2 linked regions of the Struthio camelus genome follow. The protein of the gene in region 1 purifies or fractionates together with the protein of each later gene. This does not show direct contact. Links are inferred from orthologs where the notes say so. Each region holds a gene or a part of one and is shown in the gene's direction. Other genes may lie near its edges. The genes, in order: TDRD3 and FMR1.

Region 1 (16,310 bases):
ATCATCTAGCCCAACCCCCCTGCTCAAGCAGAGCCATCTAGAGCATATCTAGAGCACATCTAGAGCATATCATATGGAGTTACATCATATATATCTATTTCATGCTTCAGTCATGACCTGACTGCCAGTGTGACACTGATTTCATGATGTAACTGATGATGTTCATAACTCTGGGGTGGTAGCAGGAAGCAGCAAGCATGGGCTGCCCCACAAGGGAAGGCCAGCCAGGAGCCAAGGGTGACAGCAAGACAGGTAGGGTAGTCACCACACTAACAAGGGCACAGTCCCATAGGACCTGAGCAAGGAAAGCACAGCAGGTCCGATGATGATGACCAAGGTCAGTCCAGATCACTAGACACATCTGTAGTGATGAGGCAGGTTCAAGGTCAAGCCAGGAAGTCAAGTCAATGGGTCAGGATCAGCAGTGCACATGGCCAAGACACAGACATACCAGGAAGGTAGCTCAGGCACACTGCAAGAGTGTGGGCCTGAACTTGAGTGCAGCTCCCAAGCAAAGGGCAGGAGGCCTCCATGAGATTTCCCACAGCTTTTTCTCACACAGCTCTTTTCTCAGCAGGCTGACCCAAGGTTACAGCTGCACCATAACAGAGCTGGCCTGGAGCACAGGCAGCCAGAGCCCTCAGAGGGATGAAGAGATTGCAGAGCCCGCTGGTGCACTTAGAGCCCTGACAGTGGCATACTTATTTCCAGTCGTGAAGGTATCAGCCTCATAAAGGTCATCATGTTAGAGGTGAGGCACGGTTGTTCAGGGCTTGGATGTTTACCTGAGCCAGGTGAAAGTCTGTAAAGTCATATGCTTTTTGATCCTCTGCACCCTGGCTATTTACCAACTCAGTGTCCTGAAGACGAGCAGGTTGAGCTGAGCCAAAATCACTGATAGTGCACAATCTCTCCTTTTAACCCCTGGAAGAGGCACGCCAGGGTCATAATTACGTGGGATTACATCCTGCTGTACTTAGTGATCCACCACAGCCACCATGCAGGTTCGTCCACGCTAATGTTCAGACCTGAAATGGCCCTATTTTGACAAACATATAGAACTGGCCATAGCATCATCATGCCGTTATATTTAAGGCCTTATCCTGACAACTGGATAATTGTCCTTTGAGAGCAATGATGCTGCTTCTGAGATTGACAAAATGCCAGTGTGGAATATACTTTCAAGATCACCATGGCCTGTCATGGATGTAAGGATTTGTGGGAGAAAGAGGGGAGCCTGGAACTAAATAGTTCCAAAACTGGACAGTCAAATGACAAAACCAGTGGCAGCCAGCTTGACTAACACTTTAGTCCTGTCCTTAGTGGACGTTCTCTCTCCTGGCAATGCCACCTGCAACTATGTAGTTTGTGGATTTATGTGTGGTATTATATCTAAGACTTCAGAATTAACACTTTCCTGATTGTCTTGAGAAGGAAGAGGCCTCTCACCGCCAGCAAACACCTCCCTGGTGCAAAATAGCTGTAGTATCCTGGACTCTTTGCTATTCATCTAAAACTTAGGGAAGTTCATGTTAGAAAAAGAACGAAGAGAAAGACAGTGCTGAGCACTTTCTCTCCCTTCAGATGAAACAGAGAAAACATTCACCAATAGCACTGCACATTTTGGTTGAAATGCATTAACAACACATACTAAAAAGATGATCCTTTTGACTGCAGCCTAATCAAATTAGGCACTGCCCATCAGTGAGAGACAGTCAGTTTTTACCAGGGCCATCTAGAATGCCTTTGAGATTAAATACACTCACAAGCACCTTTGAGCTATGGCCTAGGGCAGATTATTTAGAGAAAGAAAGTATAATATAGAAAGGCATATTTTCTCCTGGCTCATTAAAACAATTGAAAACAGCTCTGTAAACACGGCACACACCGACAAATTCAGTGAACAGAAGTGAAGGCCCTTTACCTTCACTACCCTGTTACTCTGGGCCACGGGTCTAGGGTAAGATTCTTGCATTCAGCATGAGAACGTGTTGTCTTCAAACAGTGTAATGAAGAAAGCCTAGAAGACAAAAATTCAATCTAAACTAGCATTAAATAATAATTTGAACTTGGTTGGTTAATAATTGGAATGTAGTAGAAAAAATAAGTTGTACTGTATAAATTATATGTGGAGTACAAGTAGAGTGTGGCAGAGGTAACAGGATAACACTGGTGACACTGTTGTGGGGGTTTACTACAGGCCACCTGGTCAGGAAGAGGAAGTTGATGAGGCCTTCTACAGACAGCTGGAAGTAGCCTCCCGATCACAGGCCCTGGTTCTCATGGGAGACTTCCACCACCCTGACATCTGCTGGGAAGAGAGCACAAACAGTCCAGGAGGTTCCTGCAGAGCACTGATGATAATTTCTTGACCCAGGTGGTGGAGACGCCAACAAGGAGAGGTGCGCTGCTAGACCTTGTACTAACAAACAGAGAAGGTCTAGTTGGAGATGTGAAGGTTGAGGGCAGCCTTGGCTGCAGTGACCGTGAGACGGTGGAGTTCAGGATCCTGTGAGGAGGGAGCAGGGCAATGAGTAGGATTGCAACGCTGGGCTTCAGGAGAGCTGACTTTGGCCTCTTCAGGGACCTACTTAGGGGAATCTCCTGGGATAGGGCCCTAGAAGGAAGAGGGGTCCAAGAAAGCTGATTCATATTCAAGCGTCACTTCCTCCAGGCTCAAGATCGGTGCGTCCCTCTGAGGAAGAAGTCCAGCAAAGCAAGCAGGAGACCTGCATGGATGAGCAAGGAACTCCTGGTCAAACTCCAGCAGAAGAAGGAAGTGTACAGAATGTGGAAAAGGGGACAGGCCACTTGGGAAGAATACAGGGACATTGTCAGAGCGTGCAGGGATGCGACAAGGAAGGCTAAGGCCCAGTTGGAATTAAATCTGGCAAGGGATGTCAAGGACAACAAGAAGGCCTTCTTCAAATACATCAGTAGCAAAAGGAAGCCGAGGGAAAATGTGGGCCCGCTGCTGAATGGGGCGGGTGCCCTGGTGACAAAGGATATAGAGAAGGCAGAGTCATTGAATGCCACCTTTGCTTCAGTCTTCACTGCTAAGGCCAGTCCTCAGGAATTCCAGACCTTGGAGACAAGAGAGGAAGTCTGGAGAAAGGAAGACTCTCCCTTGGTGGAGGAGGATCAGGTGAGAGATCTTTTGTCCAAACCTGACATCCACAAATCCATGGGCCCCGACGGGGTACATCCACGAGTGTTGAGGGAGCTGGCGGATGTCATCGCTAGGCCACTCTCCATCATCTTGGAAAGGTCCTGGAGATCAGGAGAAGTGCCTGAGGCCTGGAAGAAAGCCAGTGTCACCCCAGTCTTCAAAAAGGGCAAGAAGGAGGAGCCAGGAAACTCCAGGCCTGTCAGCCTCACCTCCATCCCGGGAAAGGTGATGGAGCAGCTCCTCCTGGAGGTCATCACTAAGCATCTGGAGGACAAGAAGGTGATCAGGAGTAGTCAGCATGGATTCCCCAAAGGGAAATCATGCTTGACCAATCTGATGAAATGACTGGCTGGGTAGATGAGGGCAGAGCAGTGGATGTTGTCTACCCGGACCTCAGCAAGGCTTTGGACACTGTCTCCCATCACATCCTCCTAGGTAAGCTCAGGAAGTGTGGGCTAGATGAGTGGGCAGTGAGGTGGATTGAGAACTGGCTGGATGGCAGAGCTCAGAGGGTTGTGGTCAGTAGTGCAGAGTCTAGGTGGAGGCCTGTAGCTAGCGGTGTCCCCCAGGGGTCAGTCCTGGGTCCAGTCTTGTTCAACGTATTCATTGATGACCTGGAGGAAGGGACAGAGGGCACCCTCAGGAAGTCTGCTGATGATTCAAAACTGAGAGCAGTGGCTGACATACCAGAAGACTGTGCTGCCATTCAGAGGGACCTGGACAGGCTGGGTGGATTCCTCTCCATGAAATCTCCATCTCCTCATGAAGTTCAACCAAGGCAAGTGCAGGGTCCTGCACCTGGGGAGGAATCACCCCATGCACCAGTACAGGCTGGGGGCTGACCTGCTGGAAAGCAGCTCTGCCGAGAAGGCCCCGGCAGTGCTGGTGGACACCAAGTTGAGCAGGAGGCAGCAATGTGGCCTTGTGGCCAAGAAGGCCAAGGGTATCGTGGGGTGCCTTGGGCAGAGTGTTGGCAGCAGGTGGAGGGAGGTGATGCTGCCCCTCTCCTCAGCCCTGCTGAGGCCTCACCTGGAGTCCTGTGTCCAATTCTGGGCTCCCCAGGACAGGAGAGACATGGCGCTACTGGGGAGAGTCCAGTGGAGGGCTACCAAGATGATTAGAGGGCTGGAGCATCTGTCCTATGAAGAAAGGCTGCAAGAGCTGGGCCTGTTCAGCCTGGAGAAGAGAAGACTGAGAGGCGATCTCATCAATGTGTACAATATCTGAAGGGGGCGTGTCAAGAGGATGAGGCCAGTCTCTTCTCCGTGGTGCCCAGCAACAGGACAAGAGGCAATGGGCATAAAATGCACCACAGGAAGTTCCATCTGAACCTGAGCAAAAAAGTTTTTCCTGTGAGGGTGAAAGAGCACTGGAGCAGGTTGCCCAGAGAGGTTGTGGAGTCTCCTTCCCTGGAGATATTCAAAACCCGTCTGGATGTGATCCTGAGAAATATGCTCTAGAGGTCCCTGCTTGAGGAGGGAGGTTGGACTAGATGATCTCCAGAGGTCCCTTCCAACCTCAACCATTCTGTGATTCTGTGAGGTGAGGGGTCCTTATTACTTACTTTGACGTTGTTGCATATTTGCAGTTAGAGTACCTAAGATGACATATTAAGCGACCTTTCCCTCCCTGTTTTTCTAAATAGCCATGTAATACCTCAAGCATATATATTATATGCAAAAGTGAAACCTAATAGAACCAAAATTTAAAGAGACAATTTTATTGTGTAAAAAGGTCTTATTAAAACATAAATAGCTTCATGCATAACATGTTGAAGATAATATAGTACTAGGCACATGTTATTTTTTTGAAGGAAAAGATCATTACAGTTATTTCTCCAGTTTTCTCTGAAAGCCGATACCCTTTGAAAAAGATGCTTCAGAGTAATTTGTTAAGTCTTATATCCTGTGTGTGGATGATTCAGAACATTGTTAGCATTTAGCATGTTTTTGTTTGAAACATGAAGAAACCTGTCTTCAGAGACAAATCATGGATAAATTAATATGTTGCAACAGAACTGTTCACACATTAATATAGCAGCAGAAACTGTCCTGTTGATAGGGCTTGAAGTGCATCCCCCTTCTCGGAGTCTGGTTGGTTAAGTGAAGGAGTTAACAGCTGAGTCCAAGGTCTGCTCCATCACTGATGAGCACTGCTATCAGGAAAGCTGGAAGCGAGAGCTGCCCCCCTTTCACTTGGGAGCCGCTTTCCAGTTGGGACTGCATGGCTGGCTCCCGCCTGAGCCACATTGTGGCTGTGCAGTGGGTCCGCCTACGCTCAGTATTGAACCCCTGCACGCCTGGTCCTGAACCGGACCCACCAGCTTGGCTCCTAGTTTGGCCTTGGGCTGGCCTTGTTGCTGCGGGCTTGTTGACGATTGCCGGTCTGTGCCTGACCCGACCACTGTCCCTGGCCCTGACCCTGATCTAGACTTGCTGCTCTGCACCCTTGTTCCTTGCTGGTGAGGTCCATGCTCATGCTTGCCTTGCAGTTGTCCTCTGCTCTCAGTGCCCCTTCCTTTGAGAAGCAGCCAGCCCTTGCTGCACCCTGGCACTTTTCTGCTTTGTTTTGAGAATAACTAACCAGAAGCATTCCTTAAAGTTTAACATAGCTGATTTACATATTGAGCATTTTTAAGTAGGACTGTCAATGAGTCATGCATGTGGGTGCATTTGTGCAAGCCATTACAATGGCCAAAAATTACTCTTTCCTCTGATATTGACCTCTTTCAGAGGTACAGTAAAAAGAGATTTTGTATCACACAAATTACCCTGAAGTTAAATGTGTAATTTTAACAGTTAGTTGTTCCTCACAGACCTTGTTTTTTAACCAAACACTTGTCAATAGCCAACATTTTGAAGTAGACACTTGGAAAGAGAAATAGGTGCTCCTCAACATCCGTGAAATATGTCAAACTAGATTATGGTTTGGACACAAAGAGTCTGTGCAAATTTTGTGGAGAGTGATGCAAACATTCATCTTGAATGACATGTATTTTTCAGAGAAAGCCATGTAGGCTAGAGACCTTTACAGGTGTGCTGGAGTCTAGCTTGATTCCCTGTGTGGTCCTAAGTACTCTGACATTCCTTAGTTTCAGCAGAAAATGTAATTTATTCTAAAGGTGGTGCATGCAGAGATCGGGTCTAAGAATGTTTTCTCATTAACTGTTGGTACAGAGGGTCTCTTTCCTCCAATTTGCAATTCTATGACTGTGTGGCAGGTGTTGTATCACCTTCTGTTTTACAGTGGACCTAATTATTTGTCTCATGTTGCAGCAGGGCTATCAGCAAGCTAGAAACAGAAGCTAAGACTGGGCAGTGCCCTCTGCTAACCAAGAGAATATGCAGTAATGGGGACTTCTCAAGTACAAAAGTGTGTATATATTTACACATAACATATGTGTATCTCAGCTTGTATACAATGAACTTGTCAGAAAAGAAGCCTACAGACCTTTAAAAAGGACAATATTTGTTACTACATTTTCTTTACAGATGGTATTTTGTGCCATGAGGTGCAATAGATAGCCATATGCTGGAGTAATTGTCAGTATAATTGCCTGGTGATTTTGATGAAGATTTAAGTGAGCAAAGGCTTCCATATCTTAAACTAACTTGAGGTAATGCATAAAGTGAGCAATTTGCGTTATCGTCTTCTCCTACGTAACTCTCCATTCTTTACTAATTGGCTCTACAGGCACTCCTTTTCCAGTTACAGTAATGTTTACAGTGTTTCCTCGATAATCTAATGTGCAGCCAGGTGATATTCTGAATGAGAAGTACTTTTATTTCTATTTCTTTCTCCTAACAAGTGACTGAATTGGCAGTACAGTTCCACCTATCTGCTGGTGCTTTCTGTGTCCGCAGCTGCTACTATGAGTCTGCAACAAAATCAAGGGAGTGCTTCAGCAACTACTATTTCAAAGTAACTCTTCTGTTTGACCTTGGGGCGTTCCTCTGCACTAATGTAAGAGTTTCTTCAGTATAGTGATATAGTAAGCATATATCTGGACTCTTATTTTAGGTCTCCTTGACATTACCGATATGGAAGCTCACACTCAACTAGAGTGTGTGATTATGTGACTGCACAACCTGTGAAAATCTGAATAATCACCTGGATGTTCAATCCATACGCTACAGGGCTGCCTGTGTTTGCTGAATTCCATGCAGATGGCTTTGGCGATTGCTTTCTTATGTCCTTGCATCGAAGGGTGCTGCAGTTTCCAAATTAATTATGTTCCCTCTACTCAACTCTATCCTATGACCAACATGGGGATTAAAACTCCACTCAGCGTGATATTGTTTTGAGATTTTGCTGGCTGAGATAGTATCTGACAGTCCTATATTTTAACTGCAAATTTATTATTTTAGGGTTAGAGTATATTCCTTTTGTTGAGACTCCAGAACAGAACTGTTTGAAGGGGTAAAATATATGTACAGTAAGAAGTTGCTCAGATCTGTCTGAACAATAGAGGCATTGTTTTCTTCTTCTATATGATTTTCTTCTTTTTTTAAAAATATAATTATTAAATGATTTGGAAAAGATGCCTAACTTTTAGAAAAACAGCAGCCTTTCAGGATACATTATTTGCTACTGATAAAACCTTTGTGTTAGAGTGTACAATCTGCACAACAGGAAAGAGAATACAACCCAGGAAGAATGAGCGGGACGCAGTAAAAAAGTGACTAGTGTTGACCAGCACAGCAGAGGTGACGGCTTACAATGCGTATAACTTCTGCCGTGGGTGACTTCTAGACAATACACTAAAGACGGGTTTTCAGGTAGATCGGAAGAGAAAAACAGCAAGCTTTGGCTTGAAGATGCTGCATGAAAATGAAAACATTCCAGGGATGAGAATGATCCCATGGAGAAAAACGCACCTTAACATAGATGAATGGAGCAGGTAGCTAGATTTTTGAAACTCAGAAAAGAAAATTAGTATTTGGCAGTGATTAGTTATAAAAGTTTCCGGATGCTGTTGACATGCTAATATTAAGTGTCTTTTGGAAAGTCACTGTCATGAGCACCTCAGTTATCCTGATTATCCTGAGCACCGGGACTAGGGCTGGGACTTTCTTAATTTGTGATGTACTGCCACTCAGCTCCGGTAAGGTCTTTGACCGCTGGCGCAGGTAGCAAAAGGGAAAGCAGCGCTCCCATCCCCTGCTATTGTTACTGGAAGGAACGGGATACTACAGCAGCTCCGTTCTTTTAAAACGTAATTCCCATTAAAAGGCAGTTCAGAAAACTAGATGTTTAAAAGAAGCACAGAAAGAAACTTAAAAAGGAAAGCACTTAAAAGAAACCACAGGAACATGCTCCCTTCCGAAAAGTCACGTCCGTCGCTCTAAAAGCCCAGTTCTCATCACCCTGAGGATATCGAGAAGACTTTTGGCTTTGCCTGTTTTTTTTTTTTTTTTTCCTGAGTGGCATTACCCCTATTTACTGATAGACGGAATAAGCTTAAAACAAAGGCTTCCCGCTCAAGAGGAGCCAGGCCGCAGGCAGGACCCGCGGCGCCAGTTCGGGCCCTGGCGCTTTCCCGTCTCCGTCATGGCGGCAGCGGCTTCATGGCGGGTGGGCGGGCGAGTCGCCGCGCAGGGGCGGGGAGCGGCGCTGGCGCCGGTCGCGGGCTTTGTTCGTCTCCGTGTGCGCCGCCGCCGCTGTCGTCTCCCTCCCTCCCTCCTTGTGTCCCTCGACCGCCCCGGCCGGAGAGCTGGCCGGGCCCCGCGCCCGCAGAGGCCGCGGGGCGGGGGAACGAGCGGCCCCCACAGCGCCCGCGCTTCCCCGCAGCTGCCGCCGCCACCGCCGGTGAGCCGGCCCCCCCTCCCCGCGGCCCGGCGGCGCTGAGCTTGGTGCGGAGCGGCGGCAGGAGGCGCCATGGCCGACGGGACGCGGGCCGCGCTCTCGGAGGCGGGCTGGTAAGTGGCGGCGCCGCGGCCCGACCCGACCCGGCCCGGCCCGGGCGCCCGGTTGCGCTAGGCCTCGGCGCGGCCTGCCGCCATGCCGGGGCGGCCCTACCAGCAGCGGTGTGGGATTTGGAGGGGGGAGGGAGTCTGGGTTTTTCCTTTTTTTCCTTTTCTTCATTTTTTAAATTTAGTTTTGTAAGCGCATGCTTGTTTTCAGGAAGCGCCGAGAAAGGGGCCGGGTGACATTATGCCCCTGCCCAGGCTTGTCTCTCGCGCGGCCTCCCAGGGCCCGGCGGTGCGGGCGCAGCTGGGCTGGTGGCGCCGGCTCTGGCGCTGAGCTGCAGCGCGCCGCCGCCAGCTGCCTTCCCCTGGGCTCCGCTTCAGAGGCGAGCAGGCCCGGAGCCTCTTGGCAGTGCTGTGGTTTTTTTTAATTGGGCCGTGCTGGCTGGGACCCTTTGGGTAAAGAAGATAAGTTGGAGCAAGTGGAGTCAGAGCCGGTTAAATGCGCACTTGAGGCTTGAATCCAAGTCCTCATCCCTTCTAGTCGAGGCTAATCGTTGGATACCTTATCTCTTTGGGAACAAAACGCTTAAGTTTGGGGTAGTTGTTTTCAAATATCTAGTGCAAACTGTCCATGTTATTTGCTAGCCTAGAGGTGTTTTGGCTTGTTGACCAGAACTGGACGATTTATTGATCGATATAATTCCCTTATTGATCAACACTTTGCTGCTTCTCCTCAACAGCTTGCCATTCTTTTCCCCCAAAACAAAAGCTCATTGCTAAGGACCAAGTCACAAAACAATTTATTTTGATTGTGTTGAGAAAACCTCTTAAGTTGTGAGAAGTATCATTATTTCCAATGGTGTTTGGGGATAGTTTTATTTCTGTGCTTTTAGTTTAATTTGGCGGTTTTACTGGATAGTGCTTTCATTTATGGCTTACATAAAAGATTAAAACAAGCATCATATTTTAGTTGTTGCTTTTATGGTCATACACTTGAAATGGCTTCTTTCAAATTTGGATTAAAACAAAGCATATGGAGGAACTTCTGTTAATATGCTAATCTGTTACCTTTCTGCTGTTACAATTTTACTTTAGCTAATTTTCACAGAATAGTTTTGTGATAATACTAATCGGATTGAAAACAAATAAGGTCTTTAGGTCTGTTTCTTGGATAACTGTATCATACATTTCAAAAATACTGTTGCTTTAATGGTATATAAAGTTCAGTGTAATCCAGTGATTACTGGCTGCGGGTGGATGGAAACAATCAGTTACTTACTTATGTTCATTTTCATAAGACTAGCTTATTCCATTTTCCATACTCCTTACTCTCCAAAAAGGAGAAGGCTTTCCGTAAAATAACTTACAAACTTATGCTTTTCATGTTTCCTTTTATATATTCAAAATTTTATAGCACAACTTTCAATTAGTAGATGTTGCTACTTTGCTGGTTTAATGAATGCCATTGTTAAACTGCTTTTAGGTAGTACGTATACGAGGCACATCTGAAATGGTCTATGTAATTCTGCACTGTTTGCCTTTCTCTTTTGGGGATGTATATTGTTAATGGCTATTAATCACTCATTATTCTTACAAAGTTGCAGGGTGTGAGCCAAAAACACAGTGACTGAAAGATGATCAGGCGAGTAGTGGGCTGATTACTAGATCTGTTGGAATTATGCCTTGACCTAGTTTCGTTGGGAAGGGTAGCAGAAAGGAAAGGGAAATGGGCACTTGCACTTCTGAGGAAAGTGAGGTGGAGTGGGAAAAAGAAATAATGCATCAGAAATATTCTTTAGACAAGTGTTCAGGTACTTTAGTAATCTAGACATGTATGCTTTTAACTGTTTTGCTTTTGCGGTTATGTTTGTGACTTTGCTGTCCTCTTAGTATTAGTAGCAGATCCTAAAGTCTATAATACATGTGGAAGTAAGCCTTCAGTTGTGTTACTTAATGTATGTTTCTGATCTATGCTTGCAGGTAAATCATGTTCAGTACCAATTTCTTTCCATTGTTGGTTTCTCCTCAATGTCAGATGGTATGTTTCTTAATGCAAAAACTGAAGCTGAGTTTATACATCATAGTCTATCCCCACAAAAACAACTGAAGCACCAGAGCAGAATAAGAAACTATTGTTTCATAGTTGCAAATCTGCTAGCTTGTGAGATGCTGTCACTTTTAATTCAATTACAGTAAGTCTTGTAGATAGAAGATACATATATTTTTTTCTTATAAAAGATAAGAAAAGTTACTATAGACACTCATTTATGTGGATTTTTGCAATTAGTTTTTATTGCATCTCTGAATATAAAGTTTTTTTTCCAGGTAAAGCAGTGACATAGTATAGTTAATGCAATATAATATACTTTTTTCAAACACCTGTTGTTAGTCATCTGTTATAAGTTTGTGTAGAAATTTGTATTGTTTGCTTTTTCAATTTGTTTCAGTATATTAGTTACATTTTTAAGAACTTACCAGAGTTCCCTACATAGTAAATTTAACAGTGACAGCTAATTCTGAGAACCTAGGTTTTTTTTTTTTTTTGGGGGGGGGGAGGTATTTCATGAAAACAGGTAGAAGACCCCTGTAGTTTGTGAACAGAACTGTAGTTTTCCTGAAGAGGAGGAGATGTCCTTGCAGACTTTTTAAGACAGCTGTCTTAAAAAGTCTTAAAAAGCACACATTTTTTGAGGCTAGTTCTTTTCGTACACTGTACCTTAGATGTTGTATATCCAAATGTGATATTGGCTGCACTTTTAGAAATTAAATGGAGTGTGTTTGTATTACTTTGTAGTGAAAAAATATTCTGTCTTGGAATGGAAGTGTATTAACTCTCTCTTTTTTAATTAGCAAACATTTATGGGGATAACAAACATTTATGGGGATATCCAGCCCAGCCTGGATAACAAATGCTCCCTAGATACAGGGATAACCCAGTGATTCACAGGAGAGGTGCATCTCTGTTTTGAGATTTATGACACTCCTGCAATGACCTACCAATATGGTTTATGGCATTTAGTTGGTACTGTAAAATCACTAAGTTACAGTAGAAAACCAAGGGCTGCGTAGTTGCGTTCTTTTATCAAGGTGTATCCCACGCTGTCTGGCGTGATTGATTTGCATTCTTGCTGGATCAGGAGTGATGGATTGTTAGAACAGTGTTTCTTTGTTGTGTGCGTGTGTGTACATATATATCCGTGTATATTTACCATTTTCTCTCTGGAGGAGCTGAGAAGGTCCAATATTGTCCCTTCTGTTTAGGGAAATAAGTTTGAGAAACTAATACAGATTTTTTTTTTTGTTTGTTTTAAAGAAGTTACTAAGTAGCAAATTAGTGGAATCAGATGGAATCTTCCCAGGATTTCAAAGAAACTAGGATATGAATGTACTTAATAGTTAAAAAGTTACAGAGAAGGATAACTGAAATAATTAAGGAGACGGAAGGGGCTGATGAGGGAGCTATGATAGAGTAGCTCTCTTCTGGGAGACTGACATGTTTGGAACTCCTTGAACTGCAGGAGAGAAAGCCAAAGGTGGAAGATTTAGTGAGGTTTGTTTAATCGGGGAGCGGTAGGTTAGAGGACTATAAAACTATTATTCACCAAATCCTGCAACATTGTTGCTCACTGAATTCTGCCACGCTAGAACCAGGAAGCACTTACTAAGCTAGTAGCATACTAGTTTCAAAGTGTGAAACAAAATATTTCTACACAATGATGGTAAAGGTGCAGCATTTGTTGCCACATAGGTTTTGGAGGCAAATTTTATCAGCAGGCTAAGAAGGAATTGCGCTATTTTATATACAGGAAGCCTATAAACAGATTTTTAAAGGGAATAGAAAGTGATGTGTCCTCTAATAAACCTAATCTGCTGGTTGTGAGGTTCTTGCGTGAGTGCGAGAGGAGCAGACTGCAGGAAGTGACTGGGCTCTTAAGCTGTTCCAAAAGAGTCTCTCTGCTGTCGGAGGCAGAACACTGGGCTAGATGAACCATTAGCCTGTCTCAGTAGAGCTTTTCTTGCATTCTTGCTAACAGTATTTTAATCTATTAATTTAAGCTATTATTGGTAAGAGAGAAATGGAAGATAGCTAATATGATACTGTTTTAATTTTGTATTATCTGTAAAAGTAAAGGTCAGTAAGTCAGACAGTTCAGGTAAAATTGATAACTACTTTAAGGGTATTATCAGTCCCTTGAATAAATGTAATGGAGGAGATGGCAAACTTCCATGACTTGTGCAGAGGGAAATCAGCCATCAGAATTGTTTGAAGGGGCCAGTGACCACGTAGCTAAGATTTGATTATTATAGTACTCTTGCATTTTCGAAAAATATTTGACCAAGGACCTTGATCAAAGTTTCTTAAAGAAGCTTTATTGAGGAGGATGGAAGGTTATCCTGTGTATACTTGGTTAAAAGATGAGAAAGAAAATAAGTGGTTGCTTCATGATGGAAAAAAGTTACCAGTGGATTTCTGCTGGGTTCTAAGGCTTTTTCATATTGAATGAATTTCTTAAGGAATGACAGTATTGTGGCACCATAGCAGTTTACTGATATGTTCAGGTTAGTAAAATGTAAACTGACTTTATAATTGAAGAAGAATCTTATCATACCATTGCCTACTGGTTTCAGATGGCAAGCATAGTTCAGTTTTGATGAATGCCAGTGAGGCACATGGAGGGAAAATAATGCAAACCAGTATAAACAATGATGAACTCTAAATATAATGCTACTCAAAAAAGGACAGTGATCACAGAGCTGTTAGGAATTATTCAGAAAGACATAATAGCCTAACAAATTATTTTGTTCTTTATGTGTATCAATAGCGTGTTAAAATCTTGGAACAGTGTGCACTAGTGGAATCGTCCCAATACAGCAAGGGTTTCATAGACAGTGTAAAAGAAGAGAGACATTGGATCGGAGGTGTGGACATCTTTACTGGGGAGGATGAAAGTCGTTAGTTTGGAAAACAGAAGTATAAGGGGAGGGGTAAAAGAGGTCTATAAAACCATAGATCATGTAGAAATGATGAAAAGAAAGCAAGGATAGCTGTTTTTCTTAGTACAAGAATTAGGCCAGCCAGTGAATTGAATTAAACACGCTACCTGATGAAAACTTAAGTAGCTGTTCCAGCGACGTGTAATTAAATTGTGGAACTCAATTGCCACATAATATTATGGAGCAGAAAAATATAAATGGGTTAAAATAGTAATTAGACAAAATCGGGTAGGGATAGATGCACTGAATACTGAACTTTGTGGTGGAATGCAGCTGCTAGCTCTAAAATTGCTAGAAGCTAGGACTCATTCCAAGCATTTCTCTCTATATTTGCCCATATCTTGCATTCTTTGCCCATGTCACCTGCTTCTACCCAACTCTTGGAGGAAGGTCCAAGATCAGATAAACACATCCACCCTTTCTGTTCTTATTTTTGTTATAGGTCTTTATCTTCACACTATAGTTTTACTGAGGGAAGAATTTTCTCCTCTTGATTGGAATGGGGGAGGAGCGGGAGTGGGAACTTGGAGAGAAAGGAACGGGACTTTTAAGTAATGGGACAAAGAGAAAAGAAGAAGCAAGTGTGACAGACCCCTATGGACTCGGTCTTGAGTGTAGTTTCAGTTGCCTTACTACATCTCAGCCTCTGGGTTTTTATTAGTTGCTGGAAAGGCCTCTCCTTCTCTTGCCTTGTTATGCCAGCTCTCGGATCAGTTTATGAATCTTTCTTGGGGACACAACCTTTACCTCCTGGTTTCTCTGAGTAATGTGCTAGGAAGCTGAAAGACGGGTTTAAGGTTTCCTTTGTTCATAGAACTGTTCTGACTTTGAATGAAGAAGGTTGCTACTGTGAACTCTTTACTCAGGAAATGAATACAAAATATGTAGTCTACTTAAAACAGTTTTAAAGCTGAAAGTTGAGAGTTCTTTAAATCATTGCAGACCTTCTCTTAACATCCACCTTTGCTTTTCATCATATGGTGTGTCTCAGGTTGATTCTCTTTGATAAATGCATTCTACAGCAACACATAAACTTTCTGTTGCTAGTTTGCTTTTTGAAGTTACTTAGTTTCCTTTCAAAAGTTATTTACTTAGCCTTGTAACTCATAGGCTTTGCCTTCTTTTTGAGATGCAAATGGTTTATTAAGGCAGGTGTTATTTACTATATTTAACTCAATGAGGTAGTACTTTCCTTCATTCTGCCTCTTTATCCACATGCTCTTTGACCTTATATTAAAGAGTGTACGTTATCTCTGAGTTGAAGATACCTTCTGAATTTTGTAATATTTTATGTTGATTTGTCTATTGATAAACTAATTGATATCATCATCTAAATGAGGTGAATGGATGGAGCTTGTTACACAATTGTAATTGACCACTTTGGGCAAATTTACCTCTTCCCTCCTATGATGTTGTAAAGGTAAAATTAAAATATGTGATCTTGGTACAGATTTGAGAGAAAGACTTGGGCAGAATGGAATGGCAGCATGCTTGACTTTTTTTTTTTTTTTTTTTTTTTAAACCAGTAAAGCCAGATGAACTTCCAATGGAAGAGTGAGTTAAAAGCAGCAATGTGTTTAAGAAGTCTGCTTTTTCCTAGGTGTTAGTATCTTATGATGTGAACAAAAGTAAAAGCAGAGGTCGTTTAAACTTAATGTTCCTGGAGATTTAAATTATTAATCAGACAATGCATACCTTATAGAAAGTGGAAATCTGAGGATTCTGGACTAGATATTTGATATAGGTGAAGGAGGTATCAGGAGAGAGCTCTTTGCAGAGATTGTGCACTCTGAAACCATTCTGTGAAACTCTCAAGACAGGCTTTGGCTCTGCTTGGACACTATTTGCTTCAGAATCCTCAGTCCTGAGCAACAGGTTGAGGGGAGGATACCTGGAGGATTTGCAGTGGGGTGCTCTTATATATACCAATAACAAACAGATGTTCAGCTTTTTTTTTTTTTTTAATATGTGCATATTTTACTTAAATACCACTTTACATGTTAATGTAAATGATACATATGGGAGCATGTAGTGATACAAAGACATCTTGAAGCTTAATTTAATAGATAGAATTACTACTAGAAATCTTAGATTTGAAAATAACCTATGTGTTAGTTAATTATTTAATGGCTTACTTGTTCTGTGATGCTCATAATAGTAAAATTGAGACAGATTTAAAGACTGATTCTCCAAGCTCACCATGCTCCTCATGTTTTAAAGAGTAGGATGTCTCCTGT
Region 2 (16,428 bases), on another chromosome or scaffold:
GCACCCGTTTTCTAGTTCCTGCATATTTAAATGTGTTAAAAGACAGGAAGCCTAAACATTCTATAGCACAGCAGTAAGAAATACACTGTTTTAGGAAACCGGAGATCTTGTTGTGCTTCCTTGTTCTAGATGAAGCAGAGAACAGACTTTAACAATGGTCTCCAGTACTCTCTATCAAGACTGTGAACGTTAGTAGAGACGATGGGCACAAACTTTTTCCTTGATTCTCTGAACAGAGCCCCAAATCTTTCTAGGTATCTAGTTGGAAAAGTCAAAAAATTTCACTCTGATAAACACGGTATTTCTATTTGATTTTTATGCAGTGCATTAGATTCATCTTCACAAATAAATTGTATTCCATCAAACAAAACAATCACCTAAAAATAACACAAAATAATCACAATGAAATCCATGAGAATACTTTTTTTATTTCAATTCTTATACAAAGAAACATTCTGCCATGTTAGGAAAAGTAAAATCGGCAAACCCCACTAACTTTCAATCACAGTGAAATCAATTGCAACGATTCTAAAAACCTGCAAGAACAGATATGAGTGTAATGAAGAAGTTCCCATATATTCATTCTCCAAAACAAAATCATACTGCAGGACATAATAATTCTAATTAGCTGTAATATTTATTTCAGTGTAAAATGAAAGTGTAACAGTTTATTGTAATAGTGGTGTTCTAAATAAATGTCCCCCTTTTTTCTTTACTAAAACCATCTGAAAAATTAGCATCTTGTAACAAGAATAAGAACTCTAAGTCGTTTGTTGAGAAATTAGGTACTCCAGCATTTCAATTTTTTTGAAAGGGGTAAATGGCATGGTCAGAAATTGGTTACTGCAATTACTTTTTCTTTGATTGCTTTACTTATCTGGGATGGTTTGGGGTCAAGGAGTAAGAACAGTTTACATGAATTTTAATCTAGGGTTAATGGGTACTAGAAAAATATGCTTGCATTCTGTATTATAGAATTAAATGCGAAATACACAGGTAATCCCTATTTATTGTATGAATAACTTCATGTACAAGATTGCATAGAAATTTAGACCATATAAGCTCATGAGTTCCATCTTTGGAACTGTTGTTAATGAATACTGCCCCTTAGTATGTATACAGGAGCTGGCCAAAAACTTCAAAAAGACTTGTAATGTGGAATTTGTCTAACTAAATGTACATGCCTAGCATGTAGGCCTCTTCCTCTGAGTAGTTAGCTAAGATTCCCTTTACAGACACTGAAATTCATGTTACTCCCAAGATGGTGAAATAAATCTCTGCCATTTTGGCTCCAGAACCTTTGGATAGGATTCTTAATTCTATGAACCAAAGTTATTCTTGGTGAGTTAACTTTTAATGCATCAATCCTCTCTTTTCTGAATGGCAACATTAATGCCTAATTCATGGGGATCAGAGATTAATTAAGGTTTGTAGTGTTTCTAGAGACATAAAGAATTACGTAAGTGCTGCACGTTCTTACTATAGTTCAGTTTGCTGAAACGAGGACTAGTATACAGATTAGCATACACTATCCACACACAGCTATCCATCATACATGTTGCAGAGAAGCATCCGTATGTTTACAGTTATGAATGCTGTCCCACACCATGAAAAGAGAAGAACATTTATCTTGAATTACATTATAAGCAGCTATACTCCATGTTTACTAGTAATTTTTACTGTATTCATCCATTCAGTTGCAAGACCTGTATAATGCAGGGAATCCGTTCACTTTCATTCAAATACTGTTTGATTAATGATTAATAAAAAAAAAAGCTGAAGAATTTACATCTGCAGTTTTACATACGAATGCGAGTGTTGCCTATGAACATGGACTGTGTATAGCCCTGATATACTTCTGCAGAAGACATAACATGTGGGCTTAATGCACTAATAAATGTATTTGTAGGGTTACAAGAGGAATAGATAGAGACTCATGAACGGGAGATGAAACCAAATCATTAAACAGCAAAACTCTGTATGCATGCTTCCATACTCACCATTAATTTTAAAAAAGAAAAAAGAAAATGTTACTGACAGTTGTGAACCAACAACAGGATATACAGAAATTGTTCTAGAAGAATACAGAAACTACTATAAATTTTAAATAAAACCCATTATTCTAACAGAAAACATAATATGAAGCAAATAAGGAGATCACCCACTTAGACAATTATTTCACAGCTGAACTGAATAGCATGACAGTTGTTTTTTGGATGACAACTGAGCTAGAACTTGATCGTTTATATGCAGCCTTTTCAAAATATGTATTGTAGAAGATCATATTTTCATAAATTACTGAATTTAATAACCTTCTGAAGCTTACATTCTAGTATTTACTTCTTCGACTCGTCTTCCTGAAACTGGGAAGCTTTTGAACTGCAGGTGCAAAGTAGGCTTAAATCCCTCAGGTGTCCTTACGTATTCAGGTCAGGAAGATATAGTATACTCTAGAAACTGAAAACCACTACTGGAAAGATATATCTAAACTATAGTAGAATCTGCGGCAAAATGAGCCTTGGATGCATATCTATTCCTAATTTACTACACGAATAACTATAATTAAATTTGTATAAGGAAGGGGTGGAACAATGACTGATAAAGAAAGAAGGAAACGTGAGGAAGGATTTTTCATTCTATTTGTTAATTTTCACAACATTTGTCTTTTTTAATGATTATGCTTTTACTACTTTTCCACATGAACACTACCTTTTATAGAATTTTGTCAGGATTTCCACATAAAGTTCACATTGCATGTGTAAAGAACTGAATGAACTCAGCATAATCTGATTCCTTGTATACATATGGTAACACAAATCTTGTCTGTTTTAGTTCAGCTTCTTTTTACAAATTCTGGGACTACCTGCTGTTCTACACCCTCATTTGGACATGTGTCATTTCTGGGTGTTAGTTCAGTTAAGGATAGGCTAATAAAACTGCAATACTTTGGTAACACTCAACCTTCAGCTATTATTGATTAATCATAAAGCAACCATGTCTAAGAAGTTTTGCATCTTTATATCTCCATTGATTATAACGGCTTCTTCCAATTGCTCACCTATTGACTGTAACATTACAGGTACAGGCACTTTACAGAGACTACACTTTAAACCAACAACCTTTGAAACATCTAGTTACAGCTGCAGACTGAGAGGACAACAGACTGAACCATTTGGTCTCACTGAAATAACTCACAACCCTATGTATCTCAAACATACACAAATTATTTTTTCCCAGTGTCCTATATGGTTTCAGAAATAAGAAACATATATTGCGACGGTCTGGCTTACATGGAAATACAGGAATGAATTTCAGGCGAAGTCTGAGTGTCACCCGTATCACATTCTGTAAGGGGAAAGGACTCATCCTGGAGAGATTACTGTCTGAAGCGATGCACAAGGAAAATCAGCAGAAAAGAATTTAAAAGGCTGAGTTAAAAGCTCTATGAACCTCAGAAGGACTGAGCTGCAGCTCAAAATGAGTGTGTAAATAAGGAGAACGGCATAAAATGCCCTTAAGAGACTTTGGTAGTTACCAGATGACCATTCTAAAAATAATGTTTCATGAGTTAAGTCTTATTTGGAATCCTTCACCAAGCCTTAAGATAAATAGCACTGGCTGGAGAAAATACTCAAGTCATTCCTGTCGTTCTTACCCCTTGATCTATATGAAGGGTTTTTCACATATCTAGAGCAAACCCTTGATGCTCGATTGTTGGTGTTGTTCTGAAGGGCCAGTGTCGATGACTAGATTTTAAATGCTTAACTCTTCAATGTATCTAAGTAAAGTCAGCATTTCATGGTAAAGATAAATAGACAAAGAACTGGTTCACTTAAGGTAAATCCTAGGGAAACAGTAGTAGCTAAACCTGCACCGATGAGTAAGGACATGAATGACAATCACTGTTAACTATACGACTGTGATATGCTCTGAGAAGTGCCATTTACCTTAGTTTTCTGCACTTCAACTTTCCTAAAGGAGGAAAGATTTTTCTTACATTTCCTACAAATATTTAAGAAAGCCCTCATGTGGAGGCAGTAGTGAATAAAAGTCTAAGATTTTCTTGAATTTTTCTGATGTTGAAAACAGGTATTCCAAATGCAGTGCGCCTGAAATACTTTCCAGCTAGTAGATCAACCTGCAAACACGAAGTAGTATATATCTGAATAGGAAATAAAAGCACTGAGCATCTGTAAGACCAAAGCCAAGACCAGAAACAGGTGAATTGAGACTATTGGGAACTATGAGAGAATTCTGGAAATTAAAAATGCATTTTAGTTAAATTATAATTCCAAGGCCACGGTGTAGTGTAAATGAATACCACTGTTACATAGAATAAATAAAGTCTAACATTTGAATGAAATAACATTTTACTGTTCAGACGAAAAGACTTTTACAGAATTACTGAGATCTATTTTTACAATGTTACTGGTTTTGAAATAGCCATATTTAAAAGGATCTAGTTTACATTAAGTCTACATAAAAACTTATTAAATTTGTGAACATCACATGTCAGAAGGGGTATTGTTTGGAGGCAGTTCAAAGTAACACAGTAAAAACAGTAATTTGGAAAATAAGAGGAAAGGTTAAGAGTCAATCAGCAGAAAAAAATAAAGAGATCTCTGAAAATCTGCCAATCTGTTTCATCAAGTAGGCAAGGATTAAAACATTCACTAGTCAGAATAAAGTGAAAAATGTTGAATTTAAGAAACAGCAAGGAAAATTTAAGCCAAGCATTAGGGGAGATTATACAGCACAGCAGTTCTTAGCTTAGGGAAAGTAGTGAAATCATCACTGGAAGTCAGAGCTAAATCAGACACCCTTCTATTCTATCTGCTTAGAAATAATCTGCCCGCATGACAGCAACCTAATTTATTAACAAGAGAATAATTACAACCAGTAATGAATGCCAAAAATCTTCAGACAGCTTTGTTTTAGAGTTAGGCATCAACTCTCTCGGCTGATTGCTGGGTTATTTTGACCTGAACCATTTATATGGTTCCAGTGACATCTCCTTTTCTGATGCTTTAGACGGCTTCTACTTTTCCTATATGTGAAGAACATGAGAAACAAGTATAATCAATATAACATTGTCAATGAATCTACAGGAAGACCTAGGAAAAAAGTGAGGTAGGTGTGTTTTTTCCTATAATCACAGTAAGCTGTGCTGCGAAACTTGAAGAAAGTAACTCTAATAGCATTATAGTTGTCACTCGTAACAAAAATGGGAATACTTTGGGCAATAATGTTTAGACACCAAAGTAATCAATTAAAACTGAACTACTACAAAGGTATGAGAAATTAAGGCAACAGTCAACAGTACCAATTTGATTTAAGTGGAGTTTTGGGAGAAGAACAATCTTCAGCTTTGCAATTATAATTAATATGAGTTTTTACAAATCCAGTTTAACCTAAGACTAAACAAAACTATGAGGTGGTTATTTAATATAAATATTTCTTTAATCCTTTACTTGATTGTTGGCGGAGGGGAGGCGGTAAGGCACCGCCTTAAGAGGAACACCTTAAGAGGAACAAAGTTACCTCTTTTGTTATCTGACTTACTTCAAGGTCCTTACAGTAATTCTTAAGTGAAATCTTCCTTTGTTGCTGTCAGTTTTTCCCATACAGATCATTGGAGATGAGAATCACCATTCTTTCAATTCCTGCTGTGATCTGATTTGTTGTTCAGCTTAGAAGAGTTATCATCCTTCAAAACAACCTTATTAAAACAAAGTACTCTTTGTCAACAAAAGTACTCCTAACATGAACAAGTCAGACAGAAGAGGTGCGTCTCACCTAAATTTCTTCATGATGGGGACTCCATAAGATCTGATCTCTCAGATGCTTTAATTTATACACAACTCTTGTGTCATTGCTCCCTCTTTTTTCACTTCTCTTTCAGTTCTCCTGGACGCTCTGCCAACGGCAAGCAAGTCAGTCCTGGGACAGCCTCTTTAATGAGCACAGCAGGCTGTCAAGCTAAGTCATTAGATTGAATTGATCCTTCATTGTCCTCAAGAATTTGCTGAAAAGAGTATGCAAATCTGCTGAAAAGAGAATCAAACTCCTTTTCAAGATACACTGCCTAGCAATCACACTATTGAATTTCGACTTCAATACTATATATGCATACAACAAACATCACAATAAGCAGGTGAACACAGAGTATGCAAGAATTAGGCAATTTAAATCCCTCACAGGGGAAAAAATGAAAAGTTATTACAATTTGCAAGAAATATTGTATACCCTTTTTAGCATAAGTGTAAGAGTACAGAACAGCTTGCCATGCAGCACACAGAGAAACACAGATTTGGCAAGGTTTGAAACTAAAAATCAAGAGGAGGTATGAAATCATAGGTTTACTGATTCAAGAGTTTTGAAAAATCATCAGGAGGTACAGGATTTTACCCCATTACTTACATAACACGAGCATCACACATTTTTTCAGAGAAATTACAGCTCGGATAATATATTGCAGTTGTGATTTTTGGTGGAGTGGGTAACAGCAGAACCATTTTTGTTTATTATTTGTAACTCATACAAAAAATACATCAGAAGAATTGTTAATGTTTGTGCAGGTCTAATGAAAAACGAACAAACAGCCTTACTTCCAATGCACTTCCAACTGTGAATACTGCATCACAGTTACGGTGGTTCTTTTAAGTTTGTTCAACGATCAAGTTCTACAGTGAATATGCAAACTGTTACATTTTGCTAACTGCCAGAAGATCTAAAAAGCGATTAAAGGTCCGTGGGAAGCGACCACTTCAACATGCAAAAATGCAGTAAGTCTTTACATAGAAATAAATTAATAGCATATATGATATAGCAGACTTGTTTTTTTGCAAACTGAGAGTTTGTTGAACAAAGCTTAACTCTCCCAGGGTGAAGTAGAGTGAATAGCACAGAAACTTTCCAAGCCTACTGGTCTCTTTACAGTACACCTCTATGAGGCATGTAGGTCTTCAGCATACCCCCAAGTCAGACCATTGGGAAGCACAGTATTTGTATTACAACACATGTCACAAAGGTTCAGATTTTAGTCCTCAGTGTGTAATCAAGAGTGTAGTACCAGGAGTATTACAACAGAGGCTACTTGTAAGGGGAGCAGAGGTGACCCACAGGCCAGTTTACAGCCTCGCCTACCTCTGCCTGCCTTGGCGGCCATCTCCCGCAGAGCACCCATGGGACTCGAGCCCTGGCCCCACAGGCTCTCTCCTCCCCTTCACCCATCCCCGGCTGCCCCCACACCCTCAGCTCCACCACCCTCACTCCCCCCCTGCAGGCCCCACAACGGCATCGCTCCCAAGAGCCCCTATGCAGCCCCCCTTCCTCCACTCAGGAGGCCCCATCGCCCCCCAGGCCTAGCCGCGCTCCTCCTCCCGCCTCTCTCCTCACAGCACTCCCCCCCAGCCGCCGGGAGCCGCTTTGAACCAACGGTTCTGCCCCAGCTTCCCCCCCCCCCCCCAGTCATAAGGGCCTCGCAAAACGGGCCGCGCGCTCCCACCCGCTTCTGATTGGCTGGGACGCGATGTCCAGGGCGCAGTATCATTGGCCGACGGGGCCGTCAGTCAGGCGCGCCAGGGCAAGGGGGAGGCGGGATGTGACTCGCAACTGCCGGGTTAGGTTGCCCCCTCGCCGTTGCGGCTGCGCGCGGGAGGGGCGCGGCGGGGCGCGGGACGGGTCGGGTCGGGTCGGGTCGGGTCGAGCCGGCGCGCGCGCGGCCTGGCCGTTAGGCGGTCCGCGAGCGGGGCGCGCGGGCTGCAGCCAGTTGCCCGCCCCGCCCGGGCCCGTCACGTGACGCAGGGTTACTGTTTACATTCGGAGCGGGCGCCCCCAGGCTCCCCCCCCCGCCCCCCGCGCCGCCCGGCGGTGACCGTTTCGCTTTCATTTCCGGGCGGGCGCGGGCGCGGAGCGGAGGCGAGGAGCGTCCCCGCGGCGTCCCCCCCAGCCGCTCGCCGGCAGCCTCGCCCTCCGCCCCTCGCGCGGCCCCACCCCCCTCGGGCACGGCGTGAACTGAGGTTCCCCCTCCCCTCCCCCTCCCCGGCACACATCCACCTCCTCCTCTTCCCCCTCCTGCGCCGAGAGCGAGAGAAAGGGAAGGGAGGAGGCGCCGGGCCTGGGTCTCCCGCACCGAGCCGCCGCGGCACAACATGGAGGAGCTGGTGGTGGAGGTGCGGGGCTCCAACGGGGCCTTCTACAAGGTACCGGGCGCTCGCGGCCGGGTCGGGCTGGGCCTCAGGGGAGGGAGTGGGGCCTGGGACAGGAGGAGGCGGCGGCGGTGGCGGCTCCTCCCCGCTCTGAGGGAAAGCGGGGGCCCTGGGGCAGGAAGAAGAGGAGGAGGAAGAGTGGGGTAGGGGTGGAGGCCTCGGCGAGTCCCTCTGCGCGTCCGATGAGAGGGAGCCGGGCCTGTGGGTAGGGGGAGCGGGGAGCTGCGCGGCCCACAGGCTGGGGGAGCGCGAGGCCTGATGAGGAGAGGAGGGAGGGAAGGCGAGAGAGGCCCCCGGCGCTGAGGAGGCCTTGGGCCTTCCCCCTATTGTGGGAAGGGGAGGCCGTCGCGCTGCCGGTGTGTTGGAGGCGGCGAGGAGGGCCCTGGGCCTTCCTTTCCTTGGCGCTGAAGCGAGGATCAGAGCTGGAGATGGGGCATTAATTGTTAAATCCTCAGCTTTCGTCGCTACTTAAGGAAAGTCTCCTTCGCTCTCCGGGTTTCCAGGAGAGCTGCCCTGCTAGGGGAGAGCGTTTAAGTCGGGGGAGGGAGGGCAGGAGGGCAGCTTGTTAAATACACCTTCATGATGAAATGCTGTTGCGAATTGTTGCTTTTAATGCCACGTCTGGGGATACTGCCTACTGACATTAAAGAAAGCATTGCTTGACCAAGAATACATGTGCTGAGTTTCTAAATACATTTAATTATGAAATGTACTTCTTACTGAAACTACCTAATAGTGTTCCATGTTTGTTTCCAAGCCCTTGTGCTAGTGCTGAATAAAGCCATCACTGAGCCTTGAACACATCTGAGTATTTAATATCTTTATTAATGCTGTGAAGTATTGCTGTTGCTTTGCATGAGTTGAGGTTTATTAATCAGCATATGAATAGGGTATACTTTGGTTTTACTCTATTTACAGAAAAATACAATTTGAACATAGTGGGTTAGGGCCTACTATCATTGAAGGCAGTGGGGTTCTACACCTATCATCAGAACATTAAACAAACAAAAACAAGTCATGGATCCCTTTGTGCAAGTTTGCTATTGTTTAAATGTTCCCAGTACTTTAAAAAAAAATGGGCCTAGTTATTGTGCAACATCCAATATTTATGTTATCAATGAAGGAGCAGGTAGAATTTCAGTCTGATGTTAGTGTGGTAGGGCAGGTTGGTACCCAAATAAAACAGTTCTGACAGCCTTGAGTGCTTTTGAAATAAAAGAGGTCTTAAAAGTTTACTTTAAAATATATATGTGATAATATCTTTTTATCTTGCTTTCAAAATAAGAGAAGTGTGCACGAAACAAGTTTATAAGTATGATAAATAAAGCATCTTGTGGGTTTGCAGTGTTGTAGGCAAAATTTGTATATAGCTTCCTGCAATTAAATTATTTAACACTTTTAAAAATCAATTTTAAGTTTTTAAGTATATGGTATTTGCTCTGAAAGGAAAAGAAGGTATAAATGTGTTGCTAAGGAAATAATTTTAATGAGACTTTTATCAAATTAATGCCAGTATTTACACACACCATGCAAAATAGATGATGATGAAAATGATATTATACATTCTCTAGTGTTATTAAAGACACCTGGGAGAACTGAAAGCTGCTGTAGGGTGTGTAGAGGGTGGTTGGTGTGTGTGTTGGGGGGGTTGTTTTTTTTTTTTTTTTTTTATCACATTCAATTTTGATGATATGGTGTCCTGTTCCCCATCATCCATACCATAGCCCCTTTCTGGTTGTGGTTTAGATGACAATTTCAGATGAGCGTATATAGTAATGGGAGATTATTTACTAAACATGATTTAGTGCATCCAAGTTATAACACAAAAATTGCTTCCAGGCTGCATGTTATGCTTGCCTTTTAACTTACAGAAATTCAAACATAGGTGGGTGTTTTTGGTCTTTTTTTAATTTTTAAGGTAATAAATTTAACCAAGGAGACTTGGTTAAATTAACCAAAGGGACACACAGACTTACTGGTATTCAGCTGCACTACCTCTCTAGATGGAGCATCACACTTTTTTTAAAAAAAAAAAAAAAACAACCAATGCTTCTGCATTTATGTTTTAAACAAAAAAAGAAAAAAAAAAGTCATAGAATAATGTTTAATAAAAATCAGTATTTTTCATCTTACCTGAATTACTTGATTTTGTTTTTATTTAAAATTTTTCTCTTTGTCATAGTGTCTGAGTGTCAGTCTGTTATGAAGTAATTAATCTACATATCGTCTTGTGAGTTTTATTCCCATCTTGCAGACGGAAGATTTGATTTGTAGAATGAATTGGTTGTCCCAGTGAACTATGTTACGGTGTCAAGTACAGGTTTTAATTGCAAGATGATTTTATTTTTTCATTTAAAAGTTTCTTTAAGCAGGTTCCTCAGAATTGCTTTACAACTATAACACTACAAACAAATCAGAAACGAAAAATTTTTTACCCCATGTCATGGTTTACTGATAGAAACTTTTTTGGCTTTGAGTCATTCTGGAGTTTTTCATTAGAACGTGTAAATGTATTTTAAAAACACCTATATACTGATTCAAAGACATGGAGAGGAGGACTATGACGCTAGATTCATGAAGGTTCTAAGTGAATAGGCAACTAATTGCCACTTTAAGTTTTCATACCTCTTCTGTAGCTGTCTTTGAGGACCTCTATAAGTTCAGGTCCCTAAGCAGTTTCATTTTTGAATGTACCCAGCAGCACCTTAATCCTGAAAGTTCAGAAGCGATGCCTAATTGTCCCATAAGCCCTACTGAGAGTCATAAAGCAGGCATTTCTCCGTGGGCCTTGATCCAGAAAGCCTTCTGAAGACACAGCCAAAGAGGTCTCGTTCCACAAAAAACATAGAAGATAATTTTGATATCTCATTAGTTTGAATATGCATTCAGGATGAGGGAGATTTGAGAATTCATATTTCATGCTGGTCAGGTGCACTATGTTTCAAAGAATTCCAGAGTGTGTTGCTTTGATCACTGTAGTGCAGACTAGTTCTTAATGGAATTAGAGTACCACTTGATGAATGCTTTTTATTTTCATGAATTTTTTCTCTTTGCTTATTATGAATTATTCCATGGAAAGTGTAGCGCAGTCAATGAGCATGATTCAGAGCAACCCTGAGGTAATCAATAATCCAGTGCCTACAGATGCTTTGTCATGACTTGATAATGTTTTTGCCTGGCCCAGGATCCTTTGAAATAAAAGATTAAATCCCATGTTTTTTTTTTTCCTTTTAGAAAAAACAGTCCAACAAGCGGTCAGAACCGTGAATCCTAAGGGGAGGGATCTGTCTTTTGGGATGTCTCAGGAAACTAAATCTTGAATATCTGAGCTATTAGGGCATACCTGTCCACGTTTTCTGTTAGTCAGTATAGGTTTAGTAAATTCTTATCTCATTCTCAGAAGCCTAATAGACAGTTCTCTGTCTAATTTTTCCAGGACTAGGTTTAGACATTTCCCTGTGAAAGGTGGACATGGTGGATGCCTTTCATGTTTGAGAGTGATTATCTCACCTATCATTTGCTAAAGAGAGAAAGCATCCTGTTTGAGTCACATACTTTTGCAATAAATTTTAATTCAACATCTGTATATTGTCTGTAATCAAATATTGCCACTTTTTGCTCTACAACCTTGTTAAACTCTTCCACATCCTTTTTTTCCTCCAATCTGAGCAGTTTCAGTATTTTGCCATTGTTTCTTTTTAGAAACCTCACTTTCTTCCATTTAAGTTATAATTGACAAAATCATTCATCTTTCTTAGTTCTTTATTACTTAATGTCTCACTAGTAACAGCTGTTCCCTTGTCCTCCTGTTGCATTCCATATCAGTCACTGCTATTATTATTTTTTTAAAAAGGTTTCTCAAGTTATTTTTTTCTTCTTCCTTGTTAAATCTTTTTTATGCTTTTCACATATCTGTTCATGATAGCCAGTGTTCTGTGCTTTCTTGGGCATACTCTTCAAACCCACATCTATGCATCTTTATGTTTCAGTTTTCACACCTTGCTTGTACACTTTATTTCCCCCCAAACTGATAAATTCTTACAAATACCATTCCCTTAGTACTTTGTGCAAAATCACTACTCTTTCTCTACCTTTACTAACATCTGGAACTGGACAAGCTATGTTTCAGTGAATTGGGCTTACAGCGTTAAAGGTCTGTCAGCTTTTTAGCATTGTTTTGTACACTTGCACATGTGTGACAGAATATCAGGAAATAATTGTGATTAATTTTGGCTATCTGCATGCGTTCAAAAGTATTAAAAAAATTTTTTACAAGTACACAGAGAACTGAATATATTTGGACTATAAAGCACTGGCTACTACAGATTTGTTGAAATACTTTCAGTTGAGGGAAACTGACATGACACCACAATACAGACTGTAAAAACTGATATGATTAAGGTATATCGTCCCTTTTTTTTTCACGATAATATAGACTAGGAAAACTAATAGAATCTTTTTTTTCCCTGTGTCACAAGAGAGCAGAATGAAAAAAAAAAAATTACTTTCTATGGATAGCTGTGACTAGTCAACCAAGTATTTAAATTATTAATATATTTGTTTGGTAATTTGTTTTGTAAGCATAAATCTCATGGCGGAGGTAGGCAGAACTGCTGTATATATTGACTAAATGTAAACTAAGGAAATGGTGTCAGTTTGATTATTTTCAGCCATCTGTGTTGATGTTACCTGTGTACGGTCAACAGTTATCTTTAGTGTTTCTGCTTCAGGTTTCTTCAGGTCAGAGAAAAGAATTGCCCATAGTTCAATATTCTTCCAATTAGCTATGTGTCCAAATTTTACTTTTTCCAGATGACATAAGCACTAGACTGTTTAAAGTCCTCAGGATAGTCTTCAGCTTGATAACTTACGTTGGTTTGTGATATCATCTGGTTTGTTTGTTAATGGAAGGTGTTAGCATTAATACTGCTCTCTACTTATATTGCTGTAGGCACTAGGACTCTGCTCAAAATACCTTTAATGAAAGTGCTATGATTATAGGCAAAACATTTTTTTTTTAGGGAGGTTACAATCCTATCTTAAGAGTTGTCAGATCTGGATATAAGATACAGTATCACTCTTTGCTGCTCCCTAATCTCTTTCTGTTATTTCTCATAATTTTTAAGGAGTGCTACTTATTGTCTTTTGTCTTGTTCATCACCATACAGGAGCTTCTTCTCCAAGTATCTTTCGTAGTAGAAGTGGTGATTGTTGTTGTATTATGAATCTGCGAAAATTAAATAATGGAAATCAGCAGGTTTTTGAGGACATTGTTTTGTGTTACTTCTACCTGTTTTCCTTAAGGCTAGTTAGTGCTCTTTATGTCATCTCTGTTGGATTTGCTTCATAAAATAACCTCAGCTTTTGCCTACCTAAGTGTTACTAATAATACTAAATTCTGTCCTTTTCCATTCTGTGGTGTGAAGGAGTCATGCCAAATACTCTTGATAGTGATTACAGTATTTTTCAGGTTTTAAAGGCATCCATTTCTGCTCCATCTATAAGAATAGGTGCTTCAGAGCTGCACATGACAAACATTGGAAGAAATGTGGGAAGAACCTTTGAAGGTGATGTGTGTAATGTTGCAAAATGAGTCAGGGCTACCACAGTGTCTGTCAAATGCATATCCTGTTCTGGAATTTTCTTGCAGAAGAAACAGCAGTATAAAACATTAGATCCATGTTCAGTATCCAGAATGATTGTCTGGGAGTTCTATTGCCTTTTTATATCAATAGGCCTTTTAAAAAATAAATAGGATCATGTAGATATCAGTACAGAAATGCTGAGATGTGGTTTTAGATCTGTTTTGTATCATGTCATGAAAAATATCACCTATGCTTGTAATTTGCTTGGAAGGAATATCTTGGAATTTCAAAATATGTAACTATGTGCTATTAGAGAATGTTTTAAATATATTAATGGTCTGTAAAGGAACTTCTTTATGATGATGATAAACTTTTCAGTAACTTTTTACTTATTCTTACAGTATTGTGAGAGATGAGCAAACTGTAACATATTTTGATATTGTAGTTGTGACTTTACTGTGACTTCTCTTCAAGGTAGCGTTAGTTATTTTCAGATTATTAACTTGCATTGAACTTCTTTCTAGTACTGAATGTCTCTGAGTAATGATACATGTGCGCATGTGCGGTTTAATTTTAGTAGAATCAATTCTTTGTGCTCTGTATTGGTCATCAGGTACTGCTCTTGTTTTAGATATTGCTGTAATTCAGAAAATACTTGGGAATACTTCCTAAAGGAAAAATATATGAAGAATTTGGTTTTTTACCATTTAGACTTGCATAACAGAAATTCTTAAGTTCTTGTACATCTTCTGGGAATCTTGAAATGGGAGTAGAATTAAATGTTCCACAGTTCACTAACTTTTCTTCAAAAGTATTAGCAAAATTATTTTCAATTTATTGAGAAGTTTTTTTTCTTCTACCAAGAGTTATCTCCATTGGTAGGACAAATTTTTATAGTCTTATCTTGTTCATGGGCTTTTAACTACCTATACCTTGCAAGGATATGCTGTATATTTACGGATTAATGTTAGTGGAATATAGGTACTGCATATCAATAAATATTTTTTCAGCACTTTTCCAATGTTTGTATCTGTTTCAGTAGTTTGGAAAGCTGTTTAAAAAAAAAAAATCATCCCTGATTGCTCCATGACCTCTTGTCATCTGAGGCTATGAGAAAATATTTTCTTTAGTAAATCCTAAAGTCATTTAAATGGAGTATTAGTCTCGCTGTTTTGTATGTGGAGAAGTTAAGGTATGAAGCTGAAGGTTGATCGAAGGTTGTTTAACTGAGTAGCATAAAAAAAGTAGGGGAAAAGCCTTCCCATGACTGTTAAATCTTAGAGCTATGCTGTGCTTCATGTTTGCATGTAAAACCTAGCACAACACCTGTCCATCCTCTTGAAGAAAACCAAAGAAAGGCTGCAGTGCATTTCACTTACGGTCATGCACGAAGGAAGTTAAGTGTGATGAAGGAAATGGGGGAAGGTTGTGCTGAAATTAATGTAGATGAATTTTGCTGATTTGATGCTCAACTTACATTGAGATAGAAAAGAGGCATGATGTTTCTTTTTAAAAAGAAAAAATAAATCCTGAGATGGTTTAATTTCTATACCATAGTTGTGTCAAAATACTAGAAACATGGTATATATTCCACCGTTTTAAACTGTAATTGTAGAACTGTTAGAATAATCTTGTCAATTGTTACTTGTCCTTTTTGTCCTACTTGTTACTTCTGAAAAACAGAAAGAATGAATGTATGGCTGCAGTGTTCTGTATGTGTGTCAGTATGCTGGCAGTCATGTATCCAAGGAGGTTATCAGTTTTCTCTTGTATGCGCTTTTATATAAGACTGTTGCAAAATTTAAAAGGCTGACTTGAAACCATACTTAAATTTTGTTTCATCACATCTATGAAAGGACTTGTATGAGTTTAAAATTGTTCTTAAAAATATCCACAGATAGACCGTAACTATTTTTTTCTTACATAGGCATTCGTAAAGGATGTACATGAAGATTCTATAACAGTTTCGTTTGAAAACAAGTAAGTATATTGCTGATGTGATTGCTAAAAATGGTACTACTTTCCAACCTTGCATTTGGTTAACCTAAATATGACGTAATAGTGATGGAGAACAGTGTCTCTTAGATACTCCAGTCTTGCTGCTGGCCTTATTGTAGAATTATGTTTAAGATATGCGCTGTGTTGTGACACTCTGTATAAATATTTCTAATTGTTTAAATTTTTTGAAATACAAAACTATAGCAATATAGGGTTTACTGGGGAGATAAGGATGTTGCTATTGATCACGTAAGTTGTTTGCACAAGTCAACAGTTTAAATGTACCATTAAAAGACCTGTCTCTTGTGACTATCTTATCTTTAGATTTACCAAATTACATTATCACTAAATTTGTTATATAGTGAAGTATAAGTATGAGAGTTCTAAGCTAGAAATGAACTGATGTTGCTTTCCCATTGCTTAGCAGCATAAAAAGTTAACCTTCCATTATACTGTGTTTAGTTCAGGTTTTGTTTCCTTCAGAAAGGAAACAACACGCTACTATGTATTTTTTCCTATGTATCTATGTGGTTGTAGTATCATCTGTTGTATTTTGGAAATTGTTTGCTTCTTTCTATAAAAATTATCTTATCTGATTTCTGTTAAACTGAGCAATCACACTGAGTTCAGATTGA

Evidence for each region.
Region 2: the proteins of TDRD3 (region 1) and FMR1 purify together in Homo sapiens (affinity purification with mass spectrometry; 4 studies listed by BioGRID and IntAct, with this or other methods). This does not show direct contact. The link is inferred for Struthio camelus from reciprocal best matches to the Homo sapiens genes TDRD3 and FMR1.

What each region holds. Positions count from the first base shown.
Region 1 is NC_090942.1:185,217,029-185,233,338, reverse strand, and holds the start of TDRD3 (tudor domain-containing protein 3), read left to right. Parts: upstream 1-8,908; 5' UTR 8,909-9,046; coding exon 9,047-9,087; intron 9,088-16,310. UniProt on the Homo sapiens protein: Scaffolding protein that specifically recognizes and binds dimethylarginine-containing proteins. Plays a role in the regulation of translation of target mRNAs by binding Arg/Gly-rich motifs (GAR) in dimethylarginine-containing proteins.
Region 2 is NC_090952.1:14,541,203-14,557,630, reverse strand, and holds the start of FMR1 (fragile X messenger ribonucleoprotein 1), read left to right. Parts: upstream 1-7,799; 5' UTR 7,800-8,153; coding exon 8,154-8,204; intron 8,205-15,722; coding exon 15,723-15,775; intron 15,776-16,428.